Linked DNA regions of Yarrowia lipolytica. The main gene of each other region encodes a partner of the protein of the gene in region 2 in a complex. Links are inferred from orthologs where the notes say so. Each region holds a gene or a part of one and is shown on either strand. Other genes may lie near its edges. The genes, in order: YALI1_E05972g and YALI1_E31248g.

The links.
Region 1: the proteins of YALI1_E31248g (region 2) and YALI1_E05972g are in contact, whole or in part, in a cryo-EM structure (PDB 6S2F), measured with the Saccharomyces cerevisiae proteins. The link is inferred for Yarrowia lipolytica from reciprocal best matches to the Saccharomyces cerevisiae genes POL2 and CTF8. Residues at the interface, in NP_014137.1 of Saccharomyces cerevisiae: Arg1025, Met1036, Leu1037, Glu1038, Glu1040, Asp1041; in NP_012061.3 of Saccharomyces cerevisiae: Glu40, Lys87, Gln88, Arg128, Leu130, Pro131, Met133.

The regions. Positions count from the first base shown.
Region 1 is NC_090774.1:595,456-609,093, forward strand, and holds YALI1_E05972g (uncharacterized protein), read right to left. Parts: upstream 1,786-13,638; coding exon 1,426-1,785; downstream 1-1,425. Other genes in the region: YALI1_E05963g (uncharacterized protein), read right to left, coding at 1-879; YALI1_E05975g (uncharacterized protein), read left to right, coding at 2,143-3,531; YALI1_E05994g (uncharacterized protein), read right to left, coding at 3,766-3,945, 4,023-4,100; YALI1_E06015g (uncharacterized protein), read right to left, coding at 5,060-6,133, 6,651-6,677; YALI1_E06028g (uncharacterized protein), read right to left, coding at 6,823-7,374; YALI1_E06031g (uncharacterized protein), read left to right, coding at 7,695-8,108; YALI1_E06056g (uncharacterized protein), read right to left, coding at 8,392-10,200; YALI1_E06065g (uncharacterized protein), read right to left, coding at 10,574-11,083; YALI1_E06068g (uncharacterized protein), read left to right, coding at 11,387-12,619; YALI1_E06109g (uncharacterized protein), read right to left, coding at 13,061-13,638. UniProt on the Saccharomyces cerevisiae protein: Essential for the fidelity of chromosome transmission. Required for the DNA replication block checkpoint.
Region 2 is NC_090774.1:3,121,334-3,140,254, reverse strand, and holds YALI1_E31248g (uncharacterized protein), read right to left. Parts: upstream 15,389-18,921; coding exon 14,963-15,388; intron 14,778-14,962; coding exon 14,626-14,777; intron 14,536-14,625; coding exon 8,562-14,535; downstream 1-8,561. Other genes in the region: YALI1_E31396g (uncharacterized protein), read right to left, coding at 191-598; YALI1_E31389g (uncharacterized protein), read left to right, coding at 1,315-1,734; YALI1_E31369g (uncharacterized protein), read right to left, coding at 2,785-2,966, 3,122-3,227, 3,281-3,322; YALI1_E31351g (uncharacterized protein), read left to right, coding at 5,122-7,584; YALI1_E31229g (uncharacterized protein), read left to right, coding at 17,342-18,921. UniProt on the Saccharomyces cerevisiae protein: Catalytic component of the DNA polymerase epsilon complex which participates in chromosomal DNA replication.

The DNA.
Region 1 (13,638 bases), about 2.5 Mb from region 2:
GCCACTCTTCTTAGTCAAGAACCACAGATCCTTGACTCCCAGGCCCTCCAGATATTCGAGAGTTTTCTTATAGTTGAGTCCCACTTGGGCTACTCCGTGACTATCGTCTGACAGACACAGTCGTCCTCCTCGGTTAATAACAGCTTTGCAAATGTCAGGCCGGGGATAGGGAGTATTCCAACCCTTTCGAAGAGGAGCAGAAGACACCTCAATGAAACCTCCATAGGAGATGATGAAATCGATGTTCTTGATGATCTGGTCCCAAACATCTGGCCAGTTCTCTCGCACGTAGTTCTCGGTGGCTCCAAAGCCTTCTCTAATGGTGGAGTACAGTCGAATGAGATCAAAATGAGCAACCACCTCGGGCTTAAGTTTCTGTAGCATGTTCCATTGGATCTCGTAGTACTTTTTGTAGAGAGCATGTTCAGGAGTAGTCTGGTCGTCAATCATATCGGACACAGAGTCAGAAGCATCGCACCATTGGCCCTGGCTGAAATCAATAGGAATGCCGTTGACGTGGTGCACAGATCCAACACACAGGTCAAGACCATAGTGCTTCTTGAGCTCAACCGCTCGATCCCAGCACTCGGCTCGGATAGACTCACACTCAAAGCCCACCAGAATCTCTGTGTTGGAAGTGTTATCCTTCTGTAGCTGTCGAGCATGTTTCACATAATCGTCAAAGACCTTAGCGAGATCAACAGGAGTAGTTTTGGACTCAATCTCCTCAGGATACAGATCGGTCTCCCTGGATCGAGGCATATGTTCTGTGAGACAGAAAACGTCGAATTTCTTGTCCTTGGCTGCCTGGACACATTCTTCAAGACTATCCTTAGCGTGTTGGACGTACTGTCCCGAGTGCGAGTGGTGAGAGTGCATGTTGGTGGTTGAGAAGAATGTCAATCACTGCTTGTCGAGGCACCACTGTGGTTATCGTGAGATGCATGCAATTAGGCTTTTGATAGTGACAACGGGAAAAAAAGACTTGTGTAGCTAACCGAAGGTCATATGGGTCATAGGCGAGGATTTCGAACAATGTAGCTCCAGGAATCACTTCTTGAAGACTGGAGGAGCGTAAAAGATCGTTTCCGTGCGCATTCGCATCATGAGGGTGTTTTAAAGAGTGCTGTTGTGCCTTCAATAGCCGCCAGTAGTCATAAGCAAATACAAGAATCGGATTCCAATCAATTATTTTAATACTTACAGCCATGTCGTTACAATGCATTTTTATTACCTATAAATATGTTGATTTGATGCTGTTTTTTTTGAGGCGGTTCACAGTGAGTCAAGAAGAGACTGTTGGTGTATCTTGTCGAGCATTCTTTAATGCACTGAATGCTGGCAACTGGGGCGTATGTGCTGTAGTAGAGCACATCCTTTCTTTACAGCCGAGCAGACCTTTCATAACTCGACAGTGTATGGGTTCTACTCCTCCGCTCCAACAGGCTCGGGAATGTCTGTGAAGGAGACCTTGTGGGTGACAATCTCAATGAGATCTACCTGATGCCGGTTTTCGGGGTCCATTTTGAGCAGCCCCAGAGGCTTGTCGAGCTTCTTTATCGATCCTCGCATTCGCTGTTTCCCGTCAATCACCAGAGTGGCTTTTTTCTCTTCAAATTCAATGGATCCAACGCGTCTTGATCCCTCCTGCAAATGTGCCTTACTGACCACTTCTCCCTGGATTTCCACAATGGCCATTCCCGATGGGGTCTGGATCATCTGAGGCACGGATTCCACATGGTCGTTTTGTCGTAAGTGGTCCAGAAATATGTTGGTCACGTTCATGTCAATGGTTGTCAAGTACACAGTGAGTGGATCTCTTAATTTAGCACGCACTGTAGACGCGCATTTGAGTTTGGGTGTGGAGAAGGGAGAAGAGCTCTAAAAAAGGTAGAGAGAGATGGTTAGGTGAATAAAGGGAGTGGCTGACGAGATGGGTGTAAGCGTAATCTTTGTATAAGACTGTTTACTATATACCGAGTGAATTTTTGCTTCAGAATCTCATTGTATCACCCCTTTAGTGGCTCTCAACCTCGTCTACTTTTTCGAACCTCTGAATATGCATGTCCCAGCGCAACTCTACGTGGGATAAATATCATCTCCACCAAAACAGTCATTATCCACCTCAACCCAGCCATCATAATGACGTCTCTGGCCAACCTGATATACGCACAGACTCTCTACAAGTACGCGATCGACAACAGCGTCAAATCGGTAGTCGTGTTACCAGATATCCCCCAACCTATCGCCGAGTACATGGCAACACAAGTTCCCAAACACCCATTGATTCAACCCGACATTCTCAGCATGACAGGAGGCCCTTCCTCGCTAACTGCCGCCCATTGTCAAAAGTGGTGGCGTCAGATGATCTCATCGACGAAAATTGCAGAAAAGGAACTCGCTCTGAGCAGTTTGGCCAAGTTGGTGGATGGATTCAGACATGTTTTGTACAACGAGACGGTGGCTGGTCTGAAAGCCGACGAGGTGAAATTCAAGCATCTGAAGGAGATGGAGCGGGATAAAAAGATTAAGGCCGAAACTGAGCGATTAGAGAAGGAAAGACTAGAGAAGGAGAGACTACAAAAGGAACAACAGGAAAAAGAACAACAGGCCAGACGGGAGGCACTAGAAGCTAGCAAAGAGCAGGAAGAGGCCTCAAAAGCTCAGCAATCAATGACGAAATCTGACGACGAGGACGTAGAGATGACTGACGCTGTGGAGGAATTGAAGGAGAACGAAAACAGCAGTAAGAAGGAGCAGGCTGAAGTTGAGACTACAGAGGCTGATGTGGAGTCAGTAAAGGTCAAGGAGGAAGAAAAGGACACTGAGGTCGAGACCGAAAAGAAGACAGTAGAGGCTGAGGCTGAGGCTGAGGCTGAGGCTGAGGCTGAGGCTGAGGCTGAAGAGCAGAATTACAAGGATGAAGAGGAGCAGGCTGATGGTGCAGAGGCAGATGTCGAGTCGGACGCGAGGGAGGCTGAGGAGTCGGGGTCCGACAAGGAAACGACTGCCGACGTGGAGACCGACCGTGGAGAGACAGAAGAACCCGATGAGAGCGAATTAGACCGGGTGACGGAAACTCCAGAGGCAGGAGCTACTCCTGGATCCGAGGAACGGACTCGAAAGCGAGCACGATCTACCACTGAAGACTCTGATTCGCGAAAGCGGTCGCGCCGAAACACCTCTGCTGCCCCTTCGGCCAACCGCAAGTTTCAGAACGTGGCTGGCAATCTGCTCTCGAACATCTCATCCAACAAATCTGCGTCTTTCTTCACACACCCTGTCAATCCCAACAGTGCGCCCAACTACTACGAGTTGATCTTTTCGCCGACGGACATCCGGACCATCAAGGCCCAGGTCAAGGACGGACGTATTTCATCCACTTCTGAGCTTGAACGTGAGGTCGCCAAGATGTTTGCCAACGCCATCATGTACAACCCTTGGGACTCTGATGTAAACCTGTGGGCTCGAGAGATGCAGCAGGAGACTGATGCTCTCTTGACCTTGTTTCGGGGAGCAGGTGGGGAGTAGAACATAATTACGATTGATAATGATTACAAATGTATAACACCATGTTTGCAGTTGCAACTAAAGTGGTGCAGCTATGAGTGGCACAGTCCAGTATGATCAGACTCCGGGCAGATGATGATAGTGATGCAGAATAAATACAATATCAAAGTACAACAAGGGCAACATCAAACACAATCATTGGGGTTGCACCGCCTCATCTAGTAACTCGAACAGGGATCAATTAATATGTACATTTTATCTCTTCTGCATAAGAGCAGCGTTCTGTTCCTGGAATCTCTGGCCGACTCGTTCAGAGTGCTTGAGGAACTTCTCGGAGCACTTCTCGAGACAAGACTCTTCTCGGGAAGACAGAGCCTTGGAGGTGAAGTCGTTGACACAGTCAGTGAAGCATCGCTGGACGAGAGAGGAGTAGAGCTGGGTTAGTATGTGTGGTGTGGTGTTGTGTTCTGTTCTGTTGTCGTGGTTGTCATCAAGAAATTTGGAATACTCACTCGCATGAAATCCTTCATCTGCTTCTGCTCGACGAGCTGCTGGAACTCCTGCTGTTCTCGGTTGTTCAATTGATCCATCTTGTGTTGTGATTTGGGTGACTGATGTGTGTGATTGTCTTGAGCAACAACGAATACTTTTCACTCCCAGGTGGAAAAGGGTATCACGTGTCGAGTTTATTTTCCAGAGAGGGGCGAGTGTGATTGGGCTGAAATATGGCGTTCAAAGGCTTTTCAGAGTCCCGTGAGCATATAATATCATTGTGCACTGTTGAAATAACTACATCTTCTCATTCTTCTGATATTTCGCCCTCAATGAACCGCTGCACTCCTATTGCCACTCATCACCAAATCTCGGTATGAACCTTGTAGAGTTCGGAGAAGCTGGGAGAATCACGGCTTCAAGAAGTCTCATAAACACGCAATTTGAGCGGTATTGAAAATCTAACATTTTAGTTGGACTCATCTTATCGCAAGTACCGACCAAAAAACTTGAAATTCTCGATTTTGCGCGCCGAAACATCATGTTCAACGCACCTTCTTATGCACTCTTTATCACGGTGATATAGTTGTTCAGTATTTCTACAAGTACAAGTTCTGGTAAAAACCTATAACCTTACCCAACTCCATCACACCCAGTGAAGAAATATGCCTCACTGAATCCTCAAACAAAACACCTTGACCAGCGAATATGTGGAATGTCCATCTTTAGAATACACAAACACACTCGTACAAGTACCGTACCAGCCACATACTTCAAATACACTTCTCTATCACAATATTCCCTTGCTTAAACACATTGCTACAAGGGTTAAACCACAGGGTGCCATCTTACAGTATATGTATCGTACAGTGGTTAAGATTAGTTTATCTCCGGATCATCAGAGTTAATCATACCCATAGATACAGCTGCGGAAAGGCGATTGTTATACAGCATGGCACATTATTACAAGAACCGTGTACATCCACACTAAATCCATCACACCCACTACTCATCAATAATTCGTTCAATGTCATAATATCATCTAAATCATACATAATTACTGGAGCTTGTTGATAACAGCCATGGTGAACTCGTCAGTAGTGGAGTTGCCGCCAAGATCGGGGGTTCGGACCTGGCCCTCAGCAAGAACGTCGTAGGTAGCCTTGGAGATGACGTCAGCGAAGTCATCGAGGTTGAGGTGTCGCAGAAGCATGGCGGAAGACAGAATCATGGCGGTGGGGTTAGCGGTACCTCGGCCCTTAATGTCAAGACCGACGTGTCGGCAACCGGGCTCGAAAACGGCGTGCTCGGTACCCAGGTTGACACCAGGGACGAGACCGGGGCCTCCAACAAGACCGGCACCAATGTTAGACAGAATGGTTCCGTAAAGGTTAGGGGTGACGAGAACGTCAAACTGCTGGGGCCAAGAGACGGCCTGCATGGAGGCGTTGTCGACAATCATGTCGCCGTACTGGATCTCGGGGTACTCGGCGGAGACCTCCTTACAGGTGTTTCGGAACAGACCATCGGCAAGCTTCATAATGTTGGCCTTGTGGATGGCAGTGACCTTGTGTCGGTTGTTCTTGAGAGCAAAGTCAAAGGCAAATCGGGCAATTCGCTCGGACTTTCGCTTGGTGATGACCTTGATGGACTCAACAACACCGGGGACAGGGGAGTGCTCCAGACCGGAGTACTCACCCTCAGTGTTCTCTCGGATCAGAGCCATGTCAATGCCGTCGAGTCGGGTCTGGACACCGGGGATGTTCTTGATGAGAACGAGAGAAGCAAAAATGTCGAGCTCTCGTCGCAGGGCAACGTTGAAAGAAGTGTGACCGTGCTTCTCAACGGGGGTGTGGAGGATACCCTTGATGGCAACCTTGTTTCGGTTGATGGATCGAATGGCCTCCTCGTAGCCGTCGAGATGGTTCTCGCCAACACCGGTGACATTGACAACCTCCCAGTCAATGGGGACGGAGATAGTCTTGAAGATGGTCTTGACAGCGTCAGTAATCTCGTTACCGATACCATCACCGGGGATGAGGGTGACGGTGTACTTGGATCCGTACTCCTTGGGCTGGAACATGGTTCGAGCGTTGGTAGCGAGGGTTCGCTTGGGGAGAGCCGAGGCGGCCTGGGTTAGTATGTTATCCTAATGTTTTGGTGTCGATGATAGTTATTGTGGTGTGCGGCAATTAACACAAAACACACCAGCAACAGCAGCGGCGTGCGACAACAACGTAAACAGGTGTCTTCGTATCCGCATCGCCTCAATTGTTCTCCATTCCCCTGTCCCCACACAGTGTGCTACTGCCCGCTACTATTTTTCTCCGTAGCACATGCAGGAAAAAAAATAGTGGAGGGAAAATAAATACACGCATAGATGTTCCGGGGGTGGTGGTGACGTGGACAGGACCAAAGTAGGAGACTGTGGAGCAATCGGCGCCGGAGTTGCGACATACACTAGCCATTGGTCTCAATGGCGTCTTCCCCTGCCCCGAGTCTCTGTCTGTGATGCTGTTGTTGTTTCCGAGAAAATGTTATGGGTTGTACACAGATGTCGTCGGTCATGTAGCGCGCATCGCTGTGCCATGGAGCGGTGCTTCCATTGCACCTTGAGTCACCTCCATTGACTCGCCCGGAGTACTCACCTTAGCCAGGTAGGCGGTTCGAAGCATTGTGGATGTGGATATGTTTTCGATTAGACGACAAGATGTTGCCAAAAGGTGTCCTAGTTAAAGAAGAGAGAGAGAGAGAGTTTTATGTGGGAGGATGCAAAAAAAGCTTTTACGAAATTAAGGACGGCGAGGTTTAAACACGGCGTCAGAGCGAAACCTCTATTTCGAAGGAGACAAGCTTGAAGAAGAGAGCTGCGCCAGGGGCATTAAAAAGAGTGTCTGGCACGTCACACTGGGCTCGTGGCGAGCCATTCGATATTCCTAGGCCATATACTACTTGGAAAACTTTTTCCTGCGGCTCCATCTGTACCCTGTCAGCTGCACCATACTCCGCCAAAAAATTTACATTGTTACATTCATTTACATGTACACGTTTCTCCCACATATCTCCATGCAAATCGGAAAAACAACATCCGTCCGGGTACCCGACCATAGAGGCTTTTATCCGCTTAGCTCCGAGCAGGGGGGATATGAATGGGGGCTTAAGGGGTGTCGAAATAATCGGTGGAGGTCGACCGGAACGTTCAAATTGACTAACGATGCCAATTGAGACGTCCAACGGTGTCTCATACTCACGGTTGCTCCAATAACCGCGTTCTTTTGTCTCGTCATACTTGCACCCTTGGCTCCTCTCTTTGCTCCCATCCAGCTTTGACTTCTTCTTTGACTTCGAAGTCTGCGTGTGTGCAGTGCCCATTGGCCAAAAGTAGGAAAAACCTTGCACCGAAACACGATCCGGAGCGACCCGGATAATGGATATTAGTGGGAGTTTGGGGAGCCGGTGAACTAGCTTTGATCTTGGGAACAACGTCTGCGCTAGCGGATATGGTTAGCACATTTCCACAATTCTAAGTGTCGATGACGCAGATGAGAATCGAACGCGCACACAGAATCCAAACCTTAAACAAAAACCACGGGTACAACAGCCCAAATTGAACTCGCGATATCAGGGCAGAATCAAACTACAAGTAGCACTATCAAAATCGTGATCCTGATCAGATCAACGGCATCAACAATATGTCGAAGTCCCTAAACCTTTACAGATCGCTCTATCGAGAGCTGTCAAAGCAGTATGTCGCTGCAATGACCGTCCACATCAACGGTGAGAACCAGCGAAACGAAGCCAAGGCGAAGTACGAGGCGATCCAGAAGAAAACTACACCCAAGGCCATTGAGAAGCTGCCCACACCCCGAACTTCACATTACAACAGTACTGCTCTCAGAGAGTACTTCACAAACGGAACCGGAGAGGCCGAACAGATCCAGCACGCCGAGGACATGCTGCTGTTTCTGGAGAACCAGCGAGTTTACAAGGACCTGCTGGCCCGATACAACCCTGGAGTGGATATGGCCGATCAGGAGAGAGTGCGACTTTCTGCCCGAAGAGTCGGACTGGAAGTGCCCGTTGGAAAGAAGGACTTTGAGGATTAATTGTATATAGCGTAGTAATGAGTAACGAGTCTAGACGACGAATTATTTGTACGAGTATACTACAGTGCTGATAATACATGAGGTTTCTCTGCAACCGCCTACTTGTAGTAATGACGATAAACACATGAATTTGATACACAAGGTGGTACTTGTGCATTGCAGTCTCATTCATTTGTGCATTTAATAAATAAATATCATCGTCTAGTCACATCTTCTCTTAGGCGGACTCGTAATGTCCACCGGCTACCATTGTAGCAATGAGACAGCCCCCGCTGTTAACAATTCATTTCCTCCCACTGGTCCCTTTGATAACTTCCTGGCGAGCTCTAACAGCAGACCAGAAACTGCCGTAGCTCCATGTCAGCTTCTCAGCTCCTTGCATGAACCCATCGTATCTATTGAATTGCTCCGACATATCTCCATTGTTAGCCTGATGCTCTCTGATGACATCCAAGAACGAGTCACCGAGGTCAACGAGACGGTCCAACAGATGCTGATACTCTTCGGAGTCTCTAGCAATGCGGTCAGAAGACACAAACGTACCATAAAACTCCTTGGTGAGACTATTGATCTCAAGAACAAAATCAGACGACTGCTGGGCCAAGTGGTGAGCAATGAAGAATATGGTCTCTGCAATGGTAGCGGTACAGATGAACCAAGGATTGCCATGAGAGGTTCCCACTCCATCGTAGACGTCCTCAGCATAACGACCAACACCAACGGCGACGTACCCAGGATTTTCATCCTGGAAAGACTCCTCGAACTCAGCTAATCGTTGATGATTAATAGGGTAGTCGAAGGAGTGCACATAAGGCATGATAGTAGCAATGAGAAGATCGTCGTAGGGCTTGAGAGATGTACCTGCAGCTATGCTAGACTCCCATCTAACCGAGTCAAGAGCGGCCAAGAATATGGAGGAATCAAGGCCCGACCTTCCAAAACTTCTGGGCTCAAATTGTGCATTCAGCCGAGAACCAGCCTCGAAATGTGTCTTGATGAATTGTCGAATCGATCCAGCAGTGAATGTACATCTGCTTTCGGTCTCTCGATCTGAGTAATGTCTTGCAAGTTCCACGACGTTAATGAGAGCGTTGAACTGCACTTGAGAAGTGAAGAGATGGTAGCCCTCCAGTTCCTCCCAGAGATCAAAAGTCGGCTGATCCCAATACTGTAGAATGTACTCGACATCGGGTAGGATCATAGACTTGTAGATATACACATAGTCGTCGAGAGAAGCTGTTTCATTCCACTCCACCTGGGTTTGAATATAATGCGAGATCGTTTTAATTCTGAGTGCAGGTCCATCATTCTGAGGTCTACCCCAGTGCCCTGTGAATGCTGAGCCGTCAGTCTCAAATTTAGGCTCTCCCAAACCACTAACAACACGTCTGTTCCAGTCAAAGTACCCGGAGGGATTGCTGACGTGCTGCAACATGCCTTGAGTCTCAATGTATCCCATGATGATGTTGCTGAGTGTGTCGTTCAGTATACCTTGACTAGCCTGGTCATAGAACCGCCGCACAACTGAGTCCATGGTGATGGCAGCATCCCGAGTCCATTGGTAATAGTAGTCAGGGGCCGTTTTAGAGGGACTAGCGATAACAACGCCTACGGGAAGACCGTTGTTGCTACCTTGGTGTCCCACATTGTCGAGGACAGACTCAAAGGCGTGATGAGTCTGCTGAGCGAGCCACAACTCGAATTTCTGGGCGTCAATGAGTGTCACGTTTGGTCTCGCGTATGGTGCCAGCAACAGAGGCTTCTGATCGAATAGCGGAAGCGCTAGAGACCCTGGAAGTGCTAAAACAGAAACAAACGCTTGTAGCAACATCGTCGGTATGTGTGTATGTGTGTGTGTGTGTGTGTGTGTGTGTGTGTGTGTAAGGATGAGAATAGCGCAATCAAGCCATTTATAGCAAAAGAGAGAAGGTGTAGGTACCTGCACAAGAAGAAAATCGTGCTTGTCGGAGAAAAGCAAAACTGTCACTTCTGCACCATGCGTTCGCGCTCTTGTTTTGTTGTGGTAGTATTTTTTAGCACTCACGGTTCTGCATTGAGATTTACCTCTTGCTGTGTGACCATCCTTCCGCATGACCTTGGTACGTGATAAAGTGTACCCGCTTGAGAGATGTACAAAGATGTACGGAGATATGATACGTGTGCCGGCCGCGCGTAACGTGACTATTAAGATAAGTATAATATTTTCGACTCTACAAGCACCAAAAACAGGTCACTCGTTCTAGTATTTTTTTACCACATTTCCCCAGCTTTTGCTTTCATTCTTTCATACCACTAACGTGAAGACCAAGGTTACATGTGTAGGGATATTATTGGCACTACTGTAAGAAGGACAAAGAAACCACAAGGGGGCCGATGCCCACGATGACCCTGTGGACGGAGTCCTCTTCTGGGATATGAGCTGTGTCATATGAGCTGTGTCAGGTGCTTCACGGTCCGTTGTCCTGTTATACGGAGATATGTGGGTGGGCCATGTACGGTAGAGAGGGGGTAATAGCATGTAGTAAGACACACACACAGAGAATGTCACATGACCTACGATACGAGTACGAGAACACATACATACAAGTGCAAGGTACTACTGTATTCGTACATACAAAGTCTGGTAGAGTATGTACCGGTTTGTACGAATGTGAGAGTGTACTATAAGGGGCTGAGAATAGTGGCAATGAAAGTGGGGCTGGAAACAATGAGCAGGACCATTCAGAAAAATCGGGATTACATAATACAATACAAGTACAGTACAGTACTTGTACTTGTACTGTACTGTTGCAGTAATTCATGAAGGTAGCGAGATTATTAAGCACGTACTTCATCATTTGGACGAGCCACGAGAGATATTTTATACGACAAAGACGAATTCGAGGTAGAATACTGGAACGGCGGGAATCAGTCAAGACCCGTACATGTACTGAAGTCGAACGACTTGAAAACTTGTATACACAGTAATTGTTCATAGTGGGATGTCGAGGTCCACATAAATTTCTTAATAGTGAACTCTAATTTTGTGAGGCAAAATTTATAGATAGTGTAGCCAGATCATCACAATATCAGAGGAATTGAAAATGATACAGTTGTCCAATGCTATTGTCAAATAGTTACCATTTACAATCTGCTTTCCTTGAATAAGTCCTACATCCGCAGTCTTCGCGATTCCTCTATCAGCACAATAACCTAACCCTGCAGCTCATCTGCAAAGCCTGAAAAAATCTGGTGCTCGAAAATATCTTTATTCAAACCCACGATACATACACACCAGCATGGCCAGCGACAAAAAGAGAAAGGCTTCGAGCAAGCGGCTGACGAAAATCAAGGTCGCTAAGGTTCAGGACGATGGAAAGGTGTTTCTTTCTGACTGCGGTCATTTGTCCATCCCTAAGGACGCCAAGTTCTCGTCCGTGTCTGACAATGGAGAGACCTCCATCAAGGGAAAAAGCTCCCGAATGCGATACACCAGTGTGCCTGTGGACCACGAGAAGTACTGCGTTGCCGTAATTTCCTCTAAGGGCTTGGCTGATCTGGTCCCCGCCGAAAGCATTGAGCTGAAGGCCATGTCCAAGCAACTAGCCAAGAGAGTCGCTGAGAACACCGAGCAGAAGTCCTACAGAGAACAGCGAGTCAACCTGGGTAACGAGTTTGGAACTCTCAAGGCAAAGAAGACCCTTGCCAGTTTGGCCCGAAACAACATTGATTCCAACGAGCTTGTTGACTTTGAGGACGATGTCGTGGAGGCTGTCGCTACTGCCACTGCCAACCTACCCACTCAAGAGCAGGTGTCCATGGCAATGGATGATGCCCGACCCATCCCTAAGCATAACCTCGAGACTCTGGATGTCAACGAGATCTATCCTGTTGAGGGATACCTCACCGACGAGGAGGCTGGGTACATTCGAAGCGAGGCCATTCTGGACGAGCAGGATATCGGCAAGCGAGTGGACATGCTTCCTTACCGAACCTCACAAATGGTGCGAGACAGTCTCTACAAGATCACCGACAAGACCGACGAGACCATGTACAAGACCTCTCTTCTCTATTATCTGTCTCTGCTGATTGGATTCTACCGAGATCGTCACGTCAAGAAGCGGGAGGATATCAAAACCAGACTCAACAACCCCCCAGAGTACCTCATCGACCAGATGCTCTACCGGTACACCACTCCCCTTTCTGGTGGTCACAAATCACAACGGTACCACACTTACATGGTCAACTCCAGAAATGAGGCAATGTTGCTGTGTACTATCATTATTCTTGTGCTGAGACTCAACAACAACGTTGTAGACATTCCCATTCTGTCGCAGGAGGTTGGAATCAAGCCTTCCAAGCTTGCTGACGTTTGCAGACAGGTGGGATGCGCCATTAAGAACGCCTCTCTGACTCACATGGATGATATCGGACGACCTCGAACCGAGGCTAGCCACTGGAAGATTGCCTCGCTCAAGGCTCCGCTTAAGCTACCAGAGCTTGCCCAGCGACGACGAAGAGCCAAGAAATAGACTAATGCATAGATTGATAATGGGTGGAGATTTGGATGAATCCGAGATGAAATATTCTTACAGCGAAGTAGAGAGCACTGCATCAACATTGCTCAAATTCTCACTCTGGTTGGCCATTAGGCAATGGCTCGCTTTGATCCAGTGAAAATCACAGCGGACCCCTCCAGCGACTCGACACAGCGATGTCGACAAGTCTGCTACTGACCAACAGTTACTGACGAAAAAAGTTGAATATACTCGGTATTTCCGAAAGTTTTGAGATGTACCACAATCACCACGGCACATGTAAACAAACACACAAGTAACAATTACTTGTACTGTGCGATGTCTCAACGATCCTGGTGAAAGTACACGCACATAAGAGTAGTAGATTGCTTCTAGAGCTACACGACACAATACATACTCACCTCATTAATCATTAATCTTATACATATGTGGAGCTTAGATAACCTCTTCGGCATCGCTCTCAATGTCATCTCCAAGCAGCTCGTCGTCCTCGTTGATATCAACAGGTGCGTAGTCTCTTGACCACGGTCGGTTGCTACTTCCAGAGTGGCCGAAAATGCCTCGAGCGAACTCGCCGACGCCCTTGAGAGCCTCGGGGATCATGGTGATACCTGCAACAACGTAAGCCAGGCCCTTAAGAGCCTGCTGGACGACAGGGTTGCTGGAGCTGGAGGAAAACGAGTCCTCATCGCCCAGTCGAATGACACCAAACTTGGACTGGTAGTGCTGGAAGATCATGAATCCAATGACACAAGCCATGGCAATAGGAACAATAATGACGAAGAATGTGCCGATGACACCAAGTCCACCACCATGCTTCTTGCTGAACTCGCCCTTCTTACCAGGGCAAGGAATTGCATCAGCCTTGTCGAGCTCCTGGCCACCCTTACAAGTGGACAGGGGGATTCGTCGGTAGCCGGTAGACTCGTAGTACTCAACGAGGTTGGGGTTCTCCTTGCATTGGAGGGCGTGATCAGGGGGACTGGCACCCTTGACAAGCTTACAAGTTCCGT
Region 2 (18,921 bases):
TAAATTCAATAGAATTGCAACGAGGTATGTAGGGTACAAGATAAATCTGTATCCAGCCAATTGATCCTCATCTCTACAAATCAAGATAAAATACAATACATGTCATTCATTATAGTACACTGTAAACAGTTTTAATGGACATTAAAACAACCCAAAACCCAATAGATAAAATATAAAGCCTTCAAGAGACTTAGAGCTCCTGAGAAGCACCCTTGGCGCCCTTGGCGGACTTTCGGGGCAGAAGGTTCTGGTGGATGTTGGGGAGAACACCACCCTGAGCAATGGTGACGTGGCCAAGCAGCTTGTTCAGCTCCTCATCGTTTCGGATGGCGAGCTGCAGATGTCGGGGAACGATACGACTCTTCTTGTTGTCTCGGGCAGCGTTACCGGACAGCTCGAGAATCTCGACGGCGAGGTACTCAAGGACGGCAGCGAGGTAGATGGGGGCACCAGCACCAATTCGCTGGGCGTAGTTTCCCTTTCGCAGGAGTCGGTGGACTCGACCAACGGGGAAGGTAAGATCGGCCTTAGCGGATCGAGACTTGGAGGTCTTAGAAGAGGAGGCGGCCTTGCCACCGGACTTTCCACCGGAAGACATTGTGTGTTGTTGTTGTTGTTAGATAAAAGTGTTAGTGAGGAGTGGAAATAAAAGTGATTTTATTTCGCAGATTGTGCACTTGAATTGGTTGTGGAATGAAAAGGGTAGAAAGAGGGGGACACGAGCAGGTATATATAAGTTTGGGGGGCGTGAGGAAGGGTGGCGCACGGTAGCTTGGGGGTTCAATGTTATTTCCTGTTTGGTGCACGTGGAATGTAATGTTGGGAGGGGGTTACCGCCAGGAGTCTGTGTGTTACGTGTTGATGCGTGGTGTTGCTATCAACTGCTATCAGGTTTCTTTGTCTCGTCATTTCCTATTTGGGACAGTGGTGGGAATACTTTTGATGCAGCTCTAAATGCCATAGTATGCGTGGCGCTGTAATTTGGGAGAAATGGAGCCTATTGTGCTCGCGTTGGGAGTTTGTGCGTCGTGCTGTAAAATTTACACTCCTCTGCATATCAGAGAACGGCTGTTAGCGATTAAGGTTCTATCCAAAGTCACCTGGCTAGCACGCCCAAAACTCCCAATTGTGCATACACCATGGCCACGCACGTCGAGTCTAACCCACATCGTGCACAAATCCATTCACAGGACAAAAGTTATTATAAATAACCCCCCCTCCCCATCACATCACCTTCTTTCGATACACACCTTTATCATCCGCCTCAAATCGAGATAAAAGTTACACACTTTCAACCAACACACACAGAACACAATGGCCCCTAAAGTTGCTGAGAAGAAGCCCTCCCTTGCCGGAAAGGCCCCTGCCGGAAAGGCCCCTGCTGAGAAGAAGGAGGCTGGCAAGAAGACCACCACCGCCACCGGCGAGAAGAAGAAGCGAACTAAGGCCCGAAAGGAGACTTACTCTTCTTACATCTACAAGGTGCTGAAGCAGACCCACCCTGACACTGGTATCTCCACCCGAGCCATGTCTATCATGAACTCCTTTGTCAACGACATCTTTGAGCGAGTCGCCACCGAGGCCTCCAAGCTGGCCACCTACACCAAGAAGTCCACCATCACTTCTCGAGAGATCCAGACCGCTGTCCGACTCATTCTCCCCGGTGAGCTCGCCAAGCACGCCACTGGTGACGGTACTCGAGCTGTTGCCAAGTACTCTACCTTTGACAACTAAGCGCGCGCCTGATTGTCATCTTTTTATTATGTTTATTGGTTAACGGGTTATGAGGCACTGCCTCGTGTATAGTATTTAATGAATCTGCTATCGGATCGATTTGATTGTATTGTATGGCTCGAGGAATGTACGATACTGTGGTGCTTTGTCGGCCCAGAGGTAGCTGATAATCGGACTTCACTGTTTGTTTTGGTTCGTGTTCTGGGGTAAATATGCGTCCGTATCTCACTATCGTTCTGTAGCTACAGTATGTGTACTGTGATTACACCATAACACACCAGCCGAAACGTAATAGGGGACAAATAATACTCCATTTAATCACCAACACTGTTTGTACTTCACAATTACAGCTCACCTATCGTTGTCTTCCTGGTATTTTCATCCCCTCGGTACACTTGCATAGTTGTTCCGCTCTACTCCTCAATATCCAGCCCCAAACGCGTTCTGTGCATTAATTGATCATCTACGTGTGTGCTGCTGCACGTTGTATACACGTCCAACATACTCCCTTAGTTTGGCGCCATACATGAGCATAAGGGACGTAATAAGACGTGACGTGAAGAGCAGGGTGTAGAACGTGACGCGTATGTTTCATTGTTATCGTAGAAGTACTACTTGTAGTAAGACTGATGGGAATTGATGCATCCATATAGATTAGTAGTTTGATGTTGCAGCTTCACCCTGGTAAATCACGTCTGTAATCACGGGTATTTCTACTGGTAACTTGATCACCAATCGGAATATCTCGGTTGTCAACAAAAAAAAAAACTCCTCTACACTCCTCCTACAAGTACTTGTAGCCAGCCACTGCTACACGCCTGCAACGTACGGAATGCAACGCGTTTGCTAACAATGCTAACAGTAAAATCTGTTAGTGGTTAGGGTACTGATAGTGGTTAGGGTATGCTCCTGTTAACACTGTTGCAGCTCTGTTAGCGGTTAGGGTATAGCCATGTTGGTATGTGGAAAGAATGCATTCAGCTATGGAAAGACGTGCACATTGACGTATGGGACGGTGGGCATTGCTTGTAGGTGATGTAAGTCACGTGACTATTTCTTCTCCTCGTCCTTACTCAAGTGTCGCATAACAGCGTCGATTTTGTCCTGGGGAGATTGATCCTTGTCGGTTCGTGTTCCGATTCGGATATCGCTCTGGATTCGAACGACGCCCTTCTCGTGCAGGGCTTCGTGTGCCTTTCCGATGGTGGCACACACCTCATCCCAGGGTCCTTCTGTGGTTAGCTCATGTCAACGAGTGACAAGGTTGGTGTGATTGGCGTCTGTATCGCACGACATGCCTTTGTGTCCCCACAAAACTGCGTGTGGTGTGTGACTGTGTATGATCCACTCTCTGTGTGACTTGTCTGTGAAGCGTATGTATACTCACCGATGGTGGTGCCGGCACTGTGGAGGACGTAGTGCAGACCTGATGCCTTGATGACTCGAACCACGTCGGTCACGTACTCAGAAACTGAGGCGTTGCCTGTTCCAATCTGTGTTAGTCATATTTCGGGGTACATTAATTGATAGTATCGGCGTAACTCACAGGAATGAGGCAAAGGTCGGCAAGGCAGTGGAGTGTGGGCATGATGTTGTGTAATGTGTTGGGGTAGAGTGCATGAGATATGAGTATGTGGTTTATCATGTATATGAGTGTTGAATTGAGTTTGCCTTCGAACTGGCTGAGTAATCTGAAATATATACAGGAGCCTGAAATGTCTCAATTGTGGTTGAACACAGTTTATACGGTGCCTGGTGGCAATCATAGCAACCCCGAGTGTGTCGCAATTGCTCTCAAAAAAATAAGCTCTTCCACGGAAGGGCAAAAAGATGGCGACATCCGCAGGATTCGAACCTACGCGGGGAAACCCCAAGAGATTTCTAATCTCTCGCCTTAACCGCTCGGCCAGGATGCCATTTCGAACATAATATTTATTTTCTTGGGACGCAAACAACAGAACTCAGATGACTAAGCCGAATCATTAGAAAAAAAAAAAAAACGGTGATGAATCATTAGAATACAACAAAACAAAACAATACCACGAGACCACGACAAAGACAAGAACGAGACGAAGCGTCGACAAACCAACTGACGTGCGCCTCTCAGCGCACACCGCAATGATTCAGAAGTGTATGATTTATTGAACGCCAATAACCCGGCTTACAGCTTATTCTAATTTTTTTTTCTTCTTCACTACAGCTATATACCTACAGTATGTACTTGTAGTAAGCCGGGTTATTGGCGTTAAATAAATCATAAATCGTTTCGGTGTGCGCTGCGAGGCAGGGTTTTTTTTATTCTAATGATTCACGTTTTTTTTTTTATTCTAATGATTCATTATGTCACGTGATATATCTTTCCCATCATATAGGTCCAACCAAATTTATTGAATAACGGTTGCGGCCATTATCCTGGTGGGAAAAAATACGGCCTTCCCGTCCGATCAGCCATAGTCCAAGCACCAGGAGAGCCTAGTTAGGTATTGTAGTGGGGAGACCCATACGAGAATCCTGGGTGCTGCAATCTTTTTTTTCCCCTGATGGGAACTTGCACTGGAGTTTTGTGTGTCAATAGTCTTCAAAGGGCAAACAGTACAAGTAGCTACTCTTACATTTCTTCAACCAAGAAAACAACCCAGTCACTTCTCACCAAAATCATCCGAGGTCATGACGACACCAAGATTGTGCAGCCCCTCAAAGCGTTTTTATTGTGCTGACAGAACCTCGCTTGTAGAGTTTGACGTACGGGTGAGGTGGTGATGAAGAAGTGGTGTGCAAGTGGGATCCATATCGAAGTTGAGGCGTAAGACAGGATGGCCTAGGAAATTGGTCAGTCAATATTATAATCGGATGAACAATTTGAGAACGCCGTAATCCTCATATAGCTTTCAGATCAAGTATACGTTGTTGGAAGTCTACTGTAGTTAAGCACAGTCTAGTGGTTTTGTTGTGGGGCATTGGGGCGTGTGATATGACCTATGCACGAGTGAAAAAATGGGATATTTTATATGGAGATCATATCACAAGAAGCCAAGCTTGTATTGTTTTTATACCACCTACCTACTCTCAATGTTTGGTTATGGATGACATATATATCTCCTTTGTAAGGTAAGTGAGGTTACAGAGTTGCATGGAATTTTATTGTGGAGATGTGACGTTTGTGGGACCCTTCAAAAGAGGGGTTGTTGGTGAGATGTGTAAAATCTGAGCAGATCATAAGAATGGTGTTGGCTCAGATATTAATGTGGAGTACAAACTTCACCGCGTAAACCAAGTATAGGTGATGTCCACTTCTCCTCCTCGTCATAACCTGACTTTAACTTTGGACATGCATAGTAGACAATTTTTTTTAAATTGGATTTGCAACTTTTCGCACAGCACACAAAAATGGTACGAAGTCGTTCCAACTCCGTTAAGAAGGATTTGAAGCGCAAAGTCGACGAGCCTGTCGACGTGCAAGACGAGTTCGATGTCGAGGGACTCATTGATGAGGGCGACTCCGACGACGAGGATGAAGCTGAGCAGGAAGTGGCACAAGAAAATGTGACAAAGGACAAGAAGAACACCAGCAAGACTGAAAACGAAGAAGATGCCGACGATGAAAGTGACTCTGACGCCGAGCTTGAGGCACTCATCGGTGAAGAGGAGGATCTGTCTGGAAGCGAGCTGGAAGACGAGCTGGCTTACTTTTCTGATGCTGGAGACGACGAGGTCGACCCCTCGATTCTAAAGCATTTGGATGACGGAGTTCGTCTGCGATCTCTGTCTCGATCTTCCGACCAGACTGATGAGCTCAAGGACGTGGTTGAAATTGTGCCTGGAGCCGACGGCAAGCCTCGAATGATCAAGAAGGAAATCCATGCTGTCTACGACTCGGACGATTCGGACCAGGAGGAATCCAATACCATTGGAAACGTGCCCCTGTCTGCCTACGACCAGATGCCTCACATTGGATATGACATCAACGGTAAGCGAATCATGCGACCCGCTACCGGTTCTGCTCTGGACAACCTACTGGAGACGATTGATTTGCCCGAGGGATGGACCGGCCTGCTAGACAAGAGCACCGGAAAGGGTCTCAACATTTCCAAGGAGGAACTGGAACTCATCAAGCGGATTCAGAAGAATGAGACCACCGATGACGCCTCCAATCCCTACGAGGACCTGGTGGAGTGGTTCTCTTCCAAGACAGAGATCATGCCTCTGTCTGCTGCGCCCGAGCCCAAGAGACGATTCATTCCCTCCAAGCACGAGGCCAAGCGAGTCATGAAGATGGTGCAGGCCATTAGACAGGGTAAACTGCTGACAAAGCCCAAGGAGGACCCTGACGCCCGACCCAACTACGACGTGTGGGCCGACAACCTCACGGACGTCCAGGACCACGTCATGACTCTGCGAGCCCCCAAAATGCCCCCTCCCACCCACGACGAGTCCTACAACCCCCCTGCCGAGTATCTGCCCACCGAAGAGGAGATTGCCGAGTGGAATGCTCTTGCTCCTTCCGAGAGAGAGCGAAACTACGTGCCCAAGAAGTACACTGCTCTGCGACATGTGCCCGGCTACTCCGAGTCTGTTCGAGAGCGTTTCGAGCGGTCTTTGGATCTCTACCTGGCTCCTCGAGTGCGAAAGAACAAGCTCAACATTGATCCCGACTCTCTGATTCCCGATCTCCCCTCCCCCAAGGATCTCATGCCTTTCCCCATCAGATGTGCTACCACCTACAAGGGCCACAAGGGCAAGGTTCGAGCCATCTCTGTGGATCCCAGTGGAGAGTTCCTTGCCACTGGAGGCGACGACGGAACTCTTCGAGTTTGGGAAGTGCTCACTGGTCGAGAGCTGTACCGATGTCGTCTGGTGGCGTCCATTGATGCTCAGGATGACTCAGTCGAGTGTGTGCAGTGGAACCCCGCTGTCCCTGGCATGCTGGCTGCCTCTGCTGGTGAGCATATTTTCCTGATTGTGCCTCCCACGCTGTTTGACTTTGATATCGAGAACACCGGCCGAGAGAAGATTGAGCAGGGATGGGGTTTTGCCGAGGGAGGACGAGAGCAGCAGGATATCGATACCAAGGGTCTGGATGACGATGCTGACTCCGACTCGGACGACGAGACCGGTCACGTCAAGAAGAAGAGCCCTCCTGCCAAGTGGATCACCCCCACCGCCAAGCAGCAGGCCTCTGGTATTGGAGCCATCATTACCGCCACCAAAACCATCAAGCGACTCGCATGGCACCGAAAGGGAGACTATCTGGTCACTGTGGCCCCCTCGGCGCAGCACAGAGCCGTGGCCATCCACCAGATCTCTAAGCATTCGTCACAGTCGCCTTTCAATAAGTCCAAGGGTATTGTGCAGGACGCCATGTTCCATCCCTTCCGACCTCATCTGTACGTTGCCACCCAGCGATACGTGCGTATTTACGATCTGGCCAAGCAGGTCATGGCCAAGAAGCTTATGCCCGGTGCTAGATGGGTGTCTTCTCTGGACATTCATCCCCGTGGTGATAACGTGATCCTGTCGTCGTTCGACAAACGGCTTCTGTGGCACGATCTCGACCTCAGTGATAAGCCCTACAAGACCCTGCGATACCACGAAAAGGCCGTGCGGCACGCAGCATTCCACAAGGGTGGTCTGCCGTTGTTCTGCTCCGCTTCTGACGACGGTAATATTAACATTTTCCACGGCACCGTCTACGACGACATGATGACCAACCCTCTGCTGGTGCCTCTCAAGGTGCTCAAGGGCCACGATGTCAAGAGCGGTCTGGGTATTCTGCGGGTTGAGTGGCATCCCCGGGAGGCTTGGTTGTTTTCAGCCGCTGCTGACGGAACTGCAAAGCTGTGGACCACGTAAGGAGTGGTTCACAAGTGCGCGAGGATGTGTTGGAATCTTCCAATGGTGCATAGCAACAATGCTAGGAGGTAGCAAAGTTGTCGTTTAATAAAGATATTGATAGAACTGACGCCAGTAAAAGGTGCGAAGCATGAACTGCTCGGGCTTGACGAGTATGAGTACTTGTAGTACAAATAAGAGAAGTACAAGGTGTAGTGGGTGAAGAGTGAGTAGTGTGAGGGATATGGGGAGTACGAGCTGTGGTACAATACCGTGAAGCTGTAACACGAGAGCATGGTAGAAAAGTTGAAGCACTAGTAGGTCAGATCAAGTAGCGACAATGCCACAAATGCCCGTTTCCGTTTAGGTGGGCCCGCCAACTGAGCAGATCCCATAATATCGTTTCAAAGAGGGCTAAACTTCGCCAATGGAAATAGATCTGCATTAATCCAGACATATTTGTATGAGTGCAAGTAGAGGAAATATATATATATAGTATATATATATATATATTATATTGCTCAAATAGGGTGTGAAAGTCTGGAAAGATTGACATAGCTGCCACTCACCCTTGTCATAGTATTGTTCTCAGTAAATGATGGGTGCTGCCATCATTTGCAGTAGAGAAGTGCCACAATGTTTACAAGTCTTCCGAGTTACAAAGATTATAGAACAGTTCCAAGATAGTTATTTGTGCTTTTTAAAGTAACAGGTTCTCTATACCACTCCACGAGGGATATATCTACACATACAAACTACCAGTACAGTACATAGTGTACATGGACAACGTCCACGACAAGTTCAAGCCAAGTATAGGAAAGACTACGACTTTGTTCTAATTAGATAGTACAACTATTCATGTAACCCTTGTCTTCTAATCTCAAATACTCATACACACCTGTCTTGATACGATTCCTATCTCCACAACACACCCATACAGTACAAACATACATTAGATAAATATCTCCTCACGTCAGTCTTCCTCAACAACGCTCCTCCTAAACATAACCCAACTGTCTGAGGAACGAACCAAGCATCTTCAACTCGAACCACCGAGCGCACCGATCATAAATGGACAGCTCCTTGTGGACGTCTTCGGCAGACATGATAGTGACCCAAGAGCCAGAACAAGGACAGAACTCCGTGAGCTCATACTCTTTGACTCGTCGACACTTGTCGCAGCGGAAGTCCTGCGTCTCGTACTCGAGAATCATTCGCTGCAGCTGACCCACCAGCCGCTGCTCCACAATGACCATATCATAGAGCGAGTTGCAGAGGGGGCATCTGAAGCCAGATTTGGTGCAGCACGAGTCCTTGCATAGGTCCAGATCGCAGGGGTTCTTGCACTTGAAACACATCATGTTGGTTAGCTTGAGCGACATGGACGGATCTCGGAACGTGCCCTCCTCGGAAAACTCGTTGATATCAAAGATGTTAAGAAGGTCTCTGAGCAAAATCTGGACTTCAAAGTTGGCCTTGGCGTTGATGCCGTAAATGTGGCACACGTACTTGGCGAACTCGACCACGGGATTAGTCTCTGGCTGGATCATGGACCCGGGAAGCACGGGGAACTTAAAGGCGTCAATGGAGTCGCCTGAGGAGAGAACATCCGATAGCTTTTGAGCCAGCAGCTTGACCCGTCTCACGAGCTTGGGATGCAGGTAAGAAACCACACCCTTGCCAAAGAACTTGTCGCTCAGAAGGGCAGCGTCGTCCTTGTCTCCGTCGGTGAGCATGGGAGTGTCACTGGGCATGTCGTCAACATCAGTAGTTCTGTTTTCGGGGTATTTCCGCAGCCGCAACAAATGAATGTACTCCTGGACCCACTTGGAAAATTCCTGCTGTAGAGTCTCAGGCAAGAAGTTGGCAATGTGCCAATGCATCAACAGAGACTCGCTCTGCTTGGAGGGGTCAACAATGACGTCAGACGAGTAGCCCCCGTAGTTCCACTTGTCCATCCACAGGAAGGTGTCCCAGTAGCGAGTAATGTCGACAGAGACATACTTGAGAATGGGATGGGTTCTGATCTGCCGAACAATGTAGTTGGAGTACGAGTACACCAGCTGAAGCTCCGTCTTCTCTGTCTGCAACACAAGCTTGTGTTGATCAGCGTACACCAACTGAGCCTGGTGCTTTCGACACTCTTGAGCAAGATACAGGAAGGTCTTCTTCGTCAGGTTCTGAGTGTGGTACAGCAACTGGGGGGAGAAAAGACGCGACTCAGGCGCATAAACCCACACTGTGAAGTTGTCCAGCAGATCCTGGGGAGGCCGTTTCTTGTCCCCGTGCTCCCACCACTCCTTGACCACCATTTTGAGGGTTTTGAGGGCGTGGGGGTTGAAGGCGTTGGAGAGAAGCTCGTTGTGAATGTCTCCCTCAGTATCCTGGATCACAGCACTCTGCAACAAGGCGTTGAGCACCAAATGCTCGATTTTGATCTCGAAACAAATGTTGGTGTACAGTCCAGGATTGTTGGCGACAGGCACTTCCGCCTGGTCAGTGAGGGCTCCTCCGGTAGACAGAGCAGCAGACCACCACAAAACGACACTGTTCTGGATGAGCCGACGAGCGTATGATACGTCAATCACGTCCCGGGTATCTTGCACATGACACAGAGGCATCTTGGCATACCGAGCCATCTCGACAAGGTACGAAATGTTGGCTCCATGTGACAAGAACGATGCAATCAGCCGTCGAACCAGATCCCGTTGCCATCCAACAGCAGCAGTAGACGGAGGAACGGGTCTCAGCCGAATACAGGGGATTCTGGCCAGGGCAGCCACCTTTTCATCCACGTTTCTGTCCGGAGAATGGAGTGCAAACACCAGCTGGCCGTTTCGGGAGCCAGACAGTGAGTCACACGCCTTGGACACCTTCTGCAGCATTCGTCGGTGGTTGGAACAGTACTCCACCTCGTACTGCATTGTGTCGGGGAAGGAAAAGACGGTGCAATCGTCCATGTTCTGCTTGTACCGTTCTCCACGTCGCAGACGGGCGTACTCCTTCGAGATGTCAGGTAACTTTTCACTGGAAGACGACTGGTGCACAAACACAAGAGCTGGTGCGTCCCAGGTGGGTGTGATGACAAATATCTCCACGGCAGAAGAAACCACGTGCACAATGTGAGCGTAGGAGAGTCCTGAGTTTTGCAGGTAGGACCGCGAGTCACCTGACTTGAACCATTTGGCCTCAAAGCCATGGGTGAAGCCCTTGGAGAGGATACCAGGAGTGGAGGCATCAAGATGGAATGTGGATCCAAGCTCAATGAGGGCACGTGAATCAGGCGACACGTCGGCCTCGTAGATTTTCGTCACGTGAGGGTCCTTCAGCGGAGACTCCGGGTTAGTCATCTCCGTCTGGTACATGTCTTCAGACATGACTGCTCGGTAGAGGTACTTGGGTTGCTCCTCTTCAGCCACAGCCATGGCATTGGTCACGTCAGTGAACTTATCCCACTTCAGCGGCTCACGAGACCCCACGTACACCTTGCGCGGCACATTGATCTGCACCCGTTGCATCTTGTCTCCGATGATGACGCTGGCCTCCACCTGGCCAGGTTTTTCGGCAGCATGGATGGACACCAGGTGCCAGGCGTCTTGAGCCAGGTGGGCGTTCTTGGACACCCACGAAGAAGCGATGCCATTGTCGGACTCGCCAAAAAGATGGGCTCTTCGGTCTCGCTGAGCCTTCTGATGCTTCCACTTGACCTTGGCGTACTTAATGTAGGCTGCATAGTCGGCGAACGGATCGGGGGCCTTGTGAGGAAGAGAGGGAGTGGACTTGTCCGTTTCCTCAACAGTTTTGCGCACTCGTTTAGACACAACCACTCGGGCAGGCACTCCAGGGGGTCTGGAAGGAGAAGGAGTGGTCCCGATGCTTTCAATGTCGCCCACCTGGATCTCCATGACCTCATCTTCTTCACTGAGAATGGGCTCAGGAGTGGGAAGTTTACCCTTGACAAAATAAGAGCTCAGGGTGCTCTGCTTGATGGGGTTATCTCGTTGCTTGATGATGTCAGAAGCCCATTCGGGGGGATCACAGCCTCGAACGGGGTTCTTGAGACCCAACAGAATGGCAGGAATCACCACAAGCTTGTTGATAGTCGTCGCCAGACGTTCTCGATAGTACATCCAGTCAATGACGTCTCGGGGGTCCGTGGATTCCCATCGAGGGCCCATCCACCGTTTCAAGAACCGCAGCTTTTCGTCCAGAGATTCGGTTTCGAAAACCAGAGTGGGAATAGCTCGATCAGCAGTTGAAGAGTCCTCGTCGGAACCCTTCTTAGCCTCAGGAACAGGCATGGAGTTCTTGGTTCGAACCGCAATGATGTACTTGGTTGACAGCTTGCCTCCCGTGAGAATGGAGTCGCCCATAATCTCCGCTAGACGACGGGCAGTCGTCAGAGCAGTACTCTTCTGAGAGCCGTACTCATGCACAGGCTTGGACATGGACTTGTTCTCACAAACCAGGTCAATGAGCTCTTCGTCGGATAGGTTCTTGCCGCGAGAGTCAATCACTGCCAGCCAAGCTTCAGCCACTCGAGCCTGAGCAGCATAACACTCGACGAGATTGGAGCCCTCCAGAAACGTGTCCCACAGCTGTGACTGAAACTTTTTGATCAACGACAGCTCTCCTCGTCGCTTGACCTCGAAGCCCTTAAGCTCGACAATCTTATTGCGGTCGTCAAAAACCACGTACCGCTTTTTGAGACCCTTACCCTTATCAGTCGACGTAGGCATCATCATGCACTTGTAGGGTCCGTCGAGCTCGAAGAAGATGGAGTTTTCTGAATGAGTGTCGTACTTCCCAGTCTCGGGATTCAGCTTCTGGTACTGGTGGTTGGTAAAGTCTCTGTGCACCAAGTAGTTCATGATAGAACAGGGATACTCAAGCTCGTAGCTGGAACCATCCTTAAACTTGCACTTGAACTTCTCGGGGAAGGTCTTGGGCAGCATACACCAAATACCGTCTGTATCGAGCTCAAGAGGAATACCAAGACCTTCCATTGTCTGACGGGCAATCTTGATGATCTTGGCTCCAGTGTAACAAGTCACACCGGCCATCTCCATGGAGTACCATCGAGAACCCTTTCGCATAACATAACCGTAGAAGGAGTTGAGAATGACTTTGTGGGCCAGCTGCATCGAGTCGTTGGTGATAGCCATCTTCTTGGCCTCCTCTCGAGACGCAGGATCGGAAGCAGAAGCAGCCTCCTTGTTCCACCTTTTCGCCTTTGTCTTGTAGTCGATTCGACGCTGTTTGAACTCTTGCACAACATCGACATAGAAGGGGTTTTCTCGCTGGCAAACAATGGTCTTTTGCACAGTCGTCTCCGAGTCCGTCTTTCGAGCCTTGGTCTTGAGCGAAAAGGCCGCCACTCGCTCCTTGAGCTTGTTAGCCTGCTCCTGACCAGACAATCCAGCCCAGCCCTTTCGTTTCTGGAACTTTTCCCGCTCAGTCATACCTTCATCGTACGAGATCTCGACAGATGAGCCGTTTCCGAAACGACCTCCGGAGTACTCCTCAACCAGACCCTGCTTTAGGTTGTTGACATCTCCCTTTGACACAGGGTAATAGTCGACTCGTCGAGCCCACTCTAGTTCACGTGCGCACGTCTTGTCGGGACGGTTGTAGTCACAAACAGCACAGTCCTTTTCGTCTACCATGGAGTCGGGCTGAAGTCGGTTGGTCGTCATGATGTTGGGGTACATAGACGCGACATCCACGTGGTAAATGAGCGGGTAATCGGATCGCTTGGGGTTGGATTTGAGCTCCTGAAGCTGTTCGATGATCTGGTCTCTTACTTCATCCAAGTTCTCAAAATCAGACGATTTCTTTCCAGCCTCAACAGTGACGCAAAACTCGAGAGTCTCGTCTAAATTGACCAGTAGCTCGTCGATACTGTTAGTATCAATGTCGAAATCGACCATGATGTCGCTTCGAAACACGCCAGCAGCCAAGGACTCCACGTGGCCACCGGTGTACGTCTCGTTATCGACCAGATGACCCTTGTAATGACGCTCAAGAGCAGGTTTGTGCTTGTCGGGAAGAATGATGCGTCCCTCATAAGCCTTGACCATGAGGAGCATCTCGCAAAGAGTACCTGTACCTTTTCGTAGCACTGCATCGGGGTTGAGGGGAATAATGCAACACAGAGAGAAGATGAACGGATGCACATACTTCATGTAGAGATAATAGGTGGCCACAGCATCGGAAACAGAATATTCCGCGAGAATCTGAGGATGGTCTCGTGCATAAGGAGTCATCTTTTCCGGATCGAGCTCCTTGGGATCGTAACTCAGCTTCACCTTTGTCACAGCCTTGAGACCCTGAGAACCCTGAGGCAAGTACGAGTCTCGCTTGACCCAGTTGAGACAGTCCATATGCACACAATAGGAACACTCGTATCTCTCTTCCTCCACCTTTTTCCATCCAATCTCGTCGTAGAGATTCATTCCATGGAAGGCTGTTCGTTTGTCGATGAATGGGAAGTCGAAAAAGTCTCCGTTGTAGGAAGTCATCACCGTGGGACACACGTCTCGAATGTGCTCAAACCACTTTTCCAACACAGCCTTCTCGTTAGGCTCGTTGAAAATGGTGAAATTACCGGGGAATTCGGGCTTGGGAGTGTACTCAAAGTCCTCAATGTCTTCACTCACCATTTCTCGGTTGGTGATGAGGAAACCCTCGCCGTCAATCATGTACGAAATCATCATGATTCTGTCGACGGCTGAGTCGGGGAAACGAAGGGGAGCCTTTTCGGTCTCAATGTCGTATGCCATGACGACTGGATCGGCTCGGTACTCTCGTTCAACCATGTGTTTGAGCACAGCCGTGTCGTTTTCCTTGGTGACCTCGTACCAGTTTCCCACACGAATGTCCAGATCAATGGCCACTCGGGTTTCAAACGGCACATCAAATTCCTTGATGCCAGTGATGGATGATTCTACGTCTGTGCTGGTGTCCACATCGCTGGGTTAATATTGAACATCTTGTTTGAAGACTGACCACGTGACTTCAACACAGTCTTTCTCTTGCCTCTCCCCTCTTTCTCTTACTCACCCTTCAAGCTCATAAATGTTGAGATGCTGCTCTGTCTGCTGTGTCTGTCGGTCGACAATCTTGCTGAGCGTGAAACGTGTCGAGCTCAGATCCTCCGAGTTGTGAAATTCCAATTTCACCGCCTTTCGTTTCTTTCCTGTGAGATGGTTTGTCTGTGTTAGCCAATTGTCACACACGGCTTAATAGCAAGAATTACAGCAGTAAGAATCACAGCAGTAAGAATCACTCAGCAGTAATGGACTCACTGCAATCAGCGAGATGCTGAGAGTTCGTTATCTCTCCCACTCATTGCAATGTCTGCCACTCAACTCATCCAGGGCTGCTTGTTATCACTCACCAAGTTCAAATCTTCCTTTGTAACAATTTCCGTGCTTGCGAGCACCCGCTCAAACATCTTTTCCATGAGATCCTTCACCGCATGCTCAGTATGAGGCTTGCAAATGACAAAAAAGTAGGGCCGGAACACCACCGTCGACTTGAAGTTGCCTCCCTCCTCGTCGTAGAAGTAGTAGTCCACCGCTGCCAGGCCCCGCTCGGCCGTTTCCGACTGTAGCAACGTCTCGTGCATGTTGACCAGCCACCCGACTCGTTTTTCATCGCCAGAGAAGCGAGTAAAACCCATTCGGTCGTCTATGGCATCTCGGCGTTCGACTGCGGCAAACTTTTGACCCAGCTGCTCGATCCGCTCCAGCCTTCGCCGCTCAAACTCGTCACTGCGCTGTTTCACCACATGGGTGTTGTTTCCGTTAAAAGGTCGACCCATGGGTGTTATGTAGTGTGGTGTTGAGATGTAGTTATAGTGGGTCAATATTCAGACGCGTAAAAATATTGGTGTAGCTGTACACCCAACCTTATTCAACCAAGGGGTGTTTTTCTACCGTGCTTTTCACACAGCAATGGAGGAGATTTGAGATAAAGATGGAGCTTGAAAGTGGATATTTTGACACTTAAATAACCATTCAAATCTTTAAAATGCTCAAAAAGTGATCTCAACTACCAGAATGAAGGGGTTGTTTGCGTGGTCTGGAGAAAACACCAACCAAAACTGTAATACAAAAGTACAAGTTCAAGGTAATGTAAGCACACTGAAGTTTCTGCATTTCCTCATGTATATATATATATAATTTGAAGTTGTTCTAGAATGGAAAAATGTACACATAAGAATTTCCGCATGTTTTCGAGGTCGAATGGCCATATATTGTCACCCTCAAACGCCTTGTTTCGTCTTGTAAACCCCCCCTCACTCTATGACACGCTTCTAGTACACAGCTCAAAGTTTCGCGTTGCGCCTGTCCCAATTGGGATAATTAATGGCTCTATGATGCAGTCTGAGATTACTAGAGATATGAGGGGGAAAAATGGGACGCGACTTTAAATTCGTGGAGTTGATTTTACTCATTTTGAATAGTTAAATATCTAGTTAATAGACTAACTCTTAACCTGTGACAACTAACGGTAAGCATAATTAAACCGCCAAAAGTTGCTACGGCCAAGATTACAAAGCTGAGACGGCAATATTTTCCCACTCAAACATTTGCGTCTACTTGTACCTTAAAAAACAGTCATATCCTGTTCTTACACCTCTCCTAATCTTTAATTTTACCCTATTTTTCCAGCATTTTTCGGTGATATTCATTCTCTAGAAGTTTTACGGATGCAATTTCCCGATTGGGTAAGCCCGCACGATGAAGTGTGAAGTGTTTTTTCTCAGCCCAACTCTGCATGCTTTTTGCAAACATGTGATTAGCCACGATAAGCCTTCCTGTTTAGGCATTTGGATGCGGTGTGGGTGAAATGTATGAGCTATAGGGTGAAATTTTGGGACAGCACGTAAGATGGAGGAGTTCTGAGGAGTGGGCGGGGATTAGATGCCTTGTCAGAGGAGATTCGAGTGGTGATGTGGAATTGGGTTGTTTTATGGCCGTATAACAGTTCATATGTACGTTACATTACTTGGGTTTAGTTGAATAATTTACATTTAGTTGAGAATAGTTGGCCATGATTACCATAGTTAAGGGAAGCCGCATATCTCACTTATACTCCGCGGAAGCAGCCAGTGTGTATATCTTTACACATCCGAAGACTATCTCAGTCTGCGCATAGAGATTCCCACTGTGGAAAAGCCACTAACGAGTTTCTGTCGTAACCCTTGTCTGGCCCGATAAGATTGACTAGCTCCAACTCTGTACGATGTTGGATACGTCAATGGATGGTTGAAGTGTGTAGATATGGAGTCAACGTCTTATTCCCGATATCCCCAAGTCTGATATCAACTCCCTGAATGATTCTGTACGTCTAATGGCCTCAAAAAATACAAACATGCCTCTCAATCTTCCCTTCTATATATCTGCCCCTCTCTGAGTCACCATTACCTGTGGTTACTTGTACTATTGACTTTTGACCGGTTCTCGCTTTAGATGTCTTGTGGAAGGCTATTTGGAACTCTGTGTGAGGAGTCTGTCTTGACGAGGTCAGTATAAGAGTATGCTGTTGGCCTCCAGAAAGCCGTTCAAAAACAACGCATTTTCTCCAGCTAAAAAAAAAAAAAAGCGTTAAAAGCTACAGCTACTTTCCTTGCCAAGCCACATCGCGCCAACGCACCAGAGCCCTCGCTTATCGGGTGGTACATGTTGTACACCAAATCTGCACCTCAACTTAGTACTCACGGCAAGGTCTTCACCGCCACAACACATCCCCTCTACAACTCCCCACACACATGTCGTCATACGACTCGCACCTGCTAGGCTCGTCGGCCGAAACGGCCCCGATAGCCATCTCGGAAACGCCGCAGAAAAAAAAAGGCGGACATTTCAACCGAACCCCAAATTCAGCTGGAGCAGCTTTCGGCTCGCTCGGTCGATCCGGAGTTCGAGTTTCATACAACTACTCGGATGAAGATGACGACGACGAAACCAACGATGACTCGGAATTCGACGATGCGTCGTCCATGTACTCTACACAGGCTGAGAGAGCCACCCAGGAACAGGAAGAGCTGCTCAAAAAGGCCCGCCCCCAGGCCAACTATGGAGGCACCTCTAACGGTAACAACAACAACAACAATAGCTACGGAGGAACCACTACCCACGCTCGAACCCGAGAAGAACGACGAGCAGTCTACAAGGCATTCGATGCGGCTGTGAGAAAGGGAGAAATTCAGACTACTGCCAGCACGGAAACGAAAACGATTCTCAAGTACTCGGCTCCACTAACCATGACCTTCCTCATGCAATACTCGCTGACTGTCGCATCGGTCTTCTCCGTCGGCCATCTCGGTAAGAATGAGCTCGCCGCATGTTCTCTGGCCTCCATGACCTCCGCCATCACAGGTTTTGCTGTCGTCCATGGAGTGGCCACCTGTCTAGATACCCTGTGTGCACAGGCGTACGGCCGAAAAGACTACAAAATGGTCGGAGTTCATTTCCTGCGATGCACAATCTTTCTGTGGATCATCGCTGTGCCTATAATTCTCTTGTGGGCCGTTTTCGGACGTCAGCTGCTGCACCTGCTGCTCGACGATCCCGAACTCATCCATTTTGCAGCCCTCTACCTCGAGGTCCTGGCCTGTGGTTTCCCCGCTTATATTCTGTTTGAAAACCTCAAGCATTACCTGCAGTCCCAGGGTGACTTCAACGCCGGTACCTACATTCTTCTTATCTGCGCTCCCATCAACATCTCGCTCAACTACCTGCTGGTGTGGAACGAGCACTTTGGCTTGGGCTACGTGGGAGCCCCCATTGCCGTCGTCTTCACCGACTGGCTCATGGCCACCATGCTGTCTCTGTACGTCGTCTTCATCAACGGCCGAAAGTGCTGGTGCGGTTTCCGACCAGATAACCTCTTCACCGGCTGGGGCAGAATGATCCGACTGGCTATTCCAGGTATCATCATGGTCGAAGCCGAGTGGCTGGCGTTTGAAATTGTCACCTTCGCTGCCTCTAGATTCGGAACTGACGCCCTGGCCTGCCAGTCAGTGCTGGTGTCTGTCTGTGGCATCATCTACCAGATTCCCTTTGCTATTGGCATTGCTGCCTCCACTCGAATCGCCAATCTGGTTGGTGCCAACCTTACTGCTGCTGCCCGAATCTCTGCCAGAATGGCTGCTGTCATCTCTCTTGTCTTCGGAGTGCTCAACATGGCCTTCATGCTGGGTCTCAGAGACACCATTGGAAAGATGTTCACTAATGACGAGGCCGTTCTGCAGCTCGTGCGTGAAACCATGCCCTTCGCGGCCCTCTTCCAGGTCAACGATTCACTTGGGGTCATCTCTGGAGGCATTCTCAGAGCCCAGGGACGTCA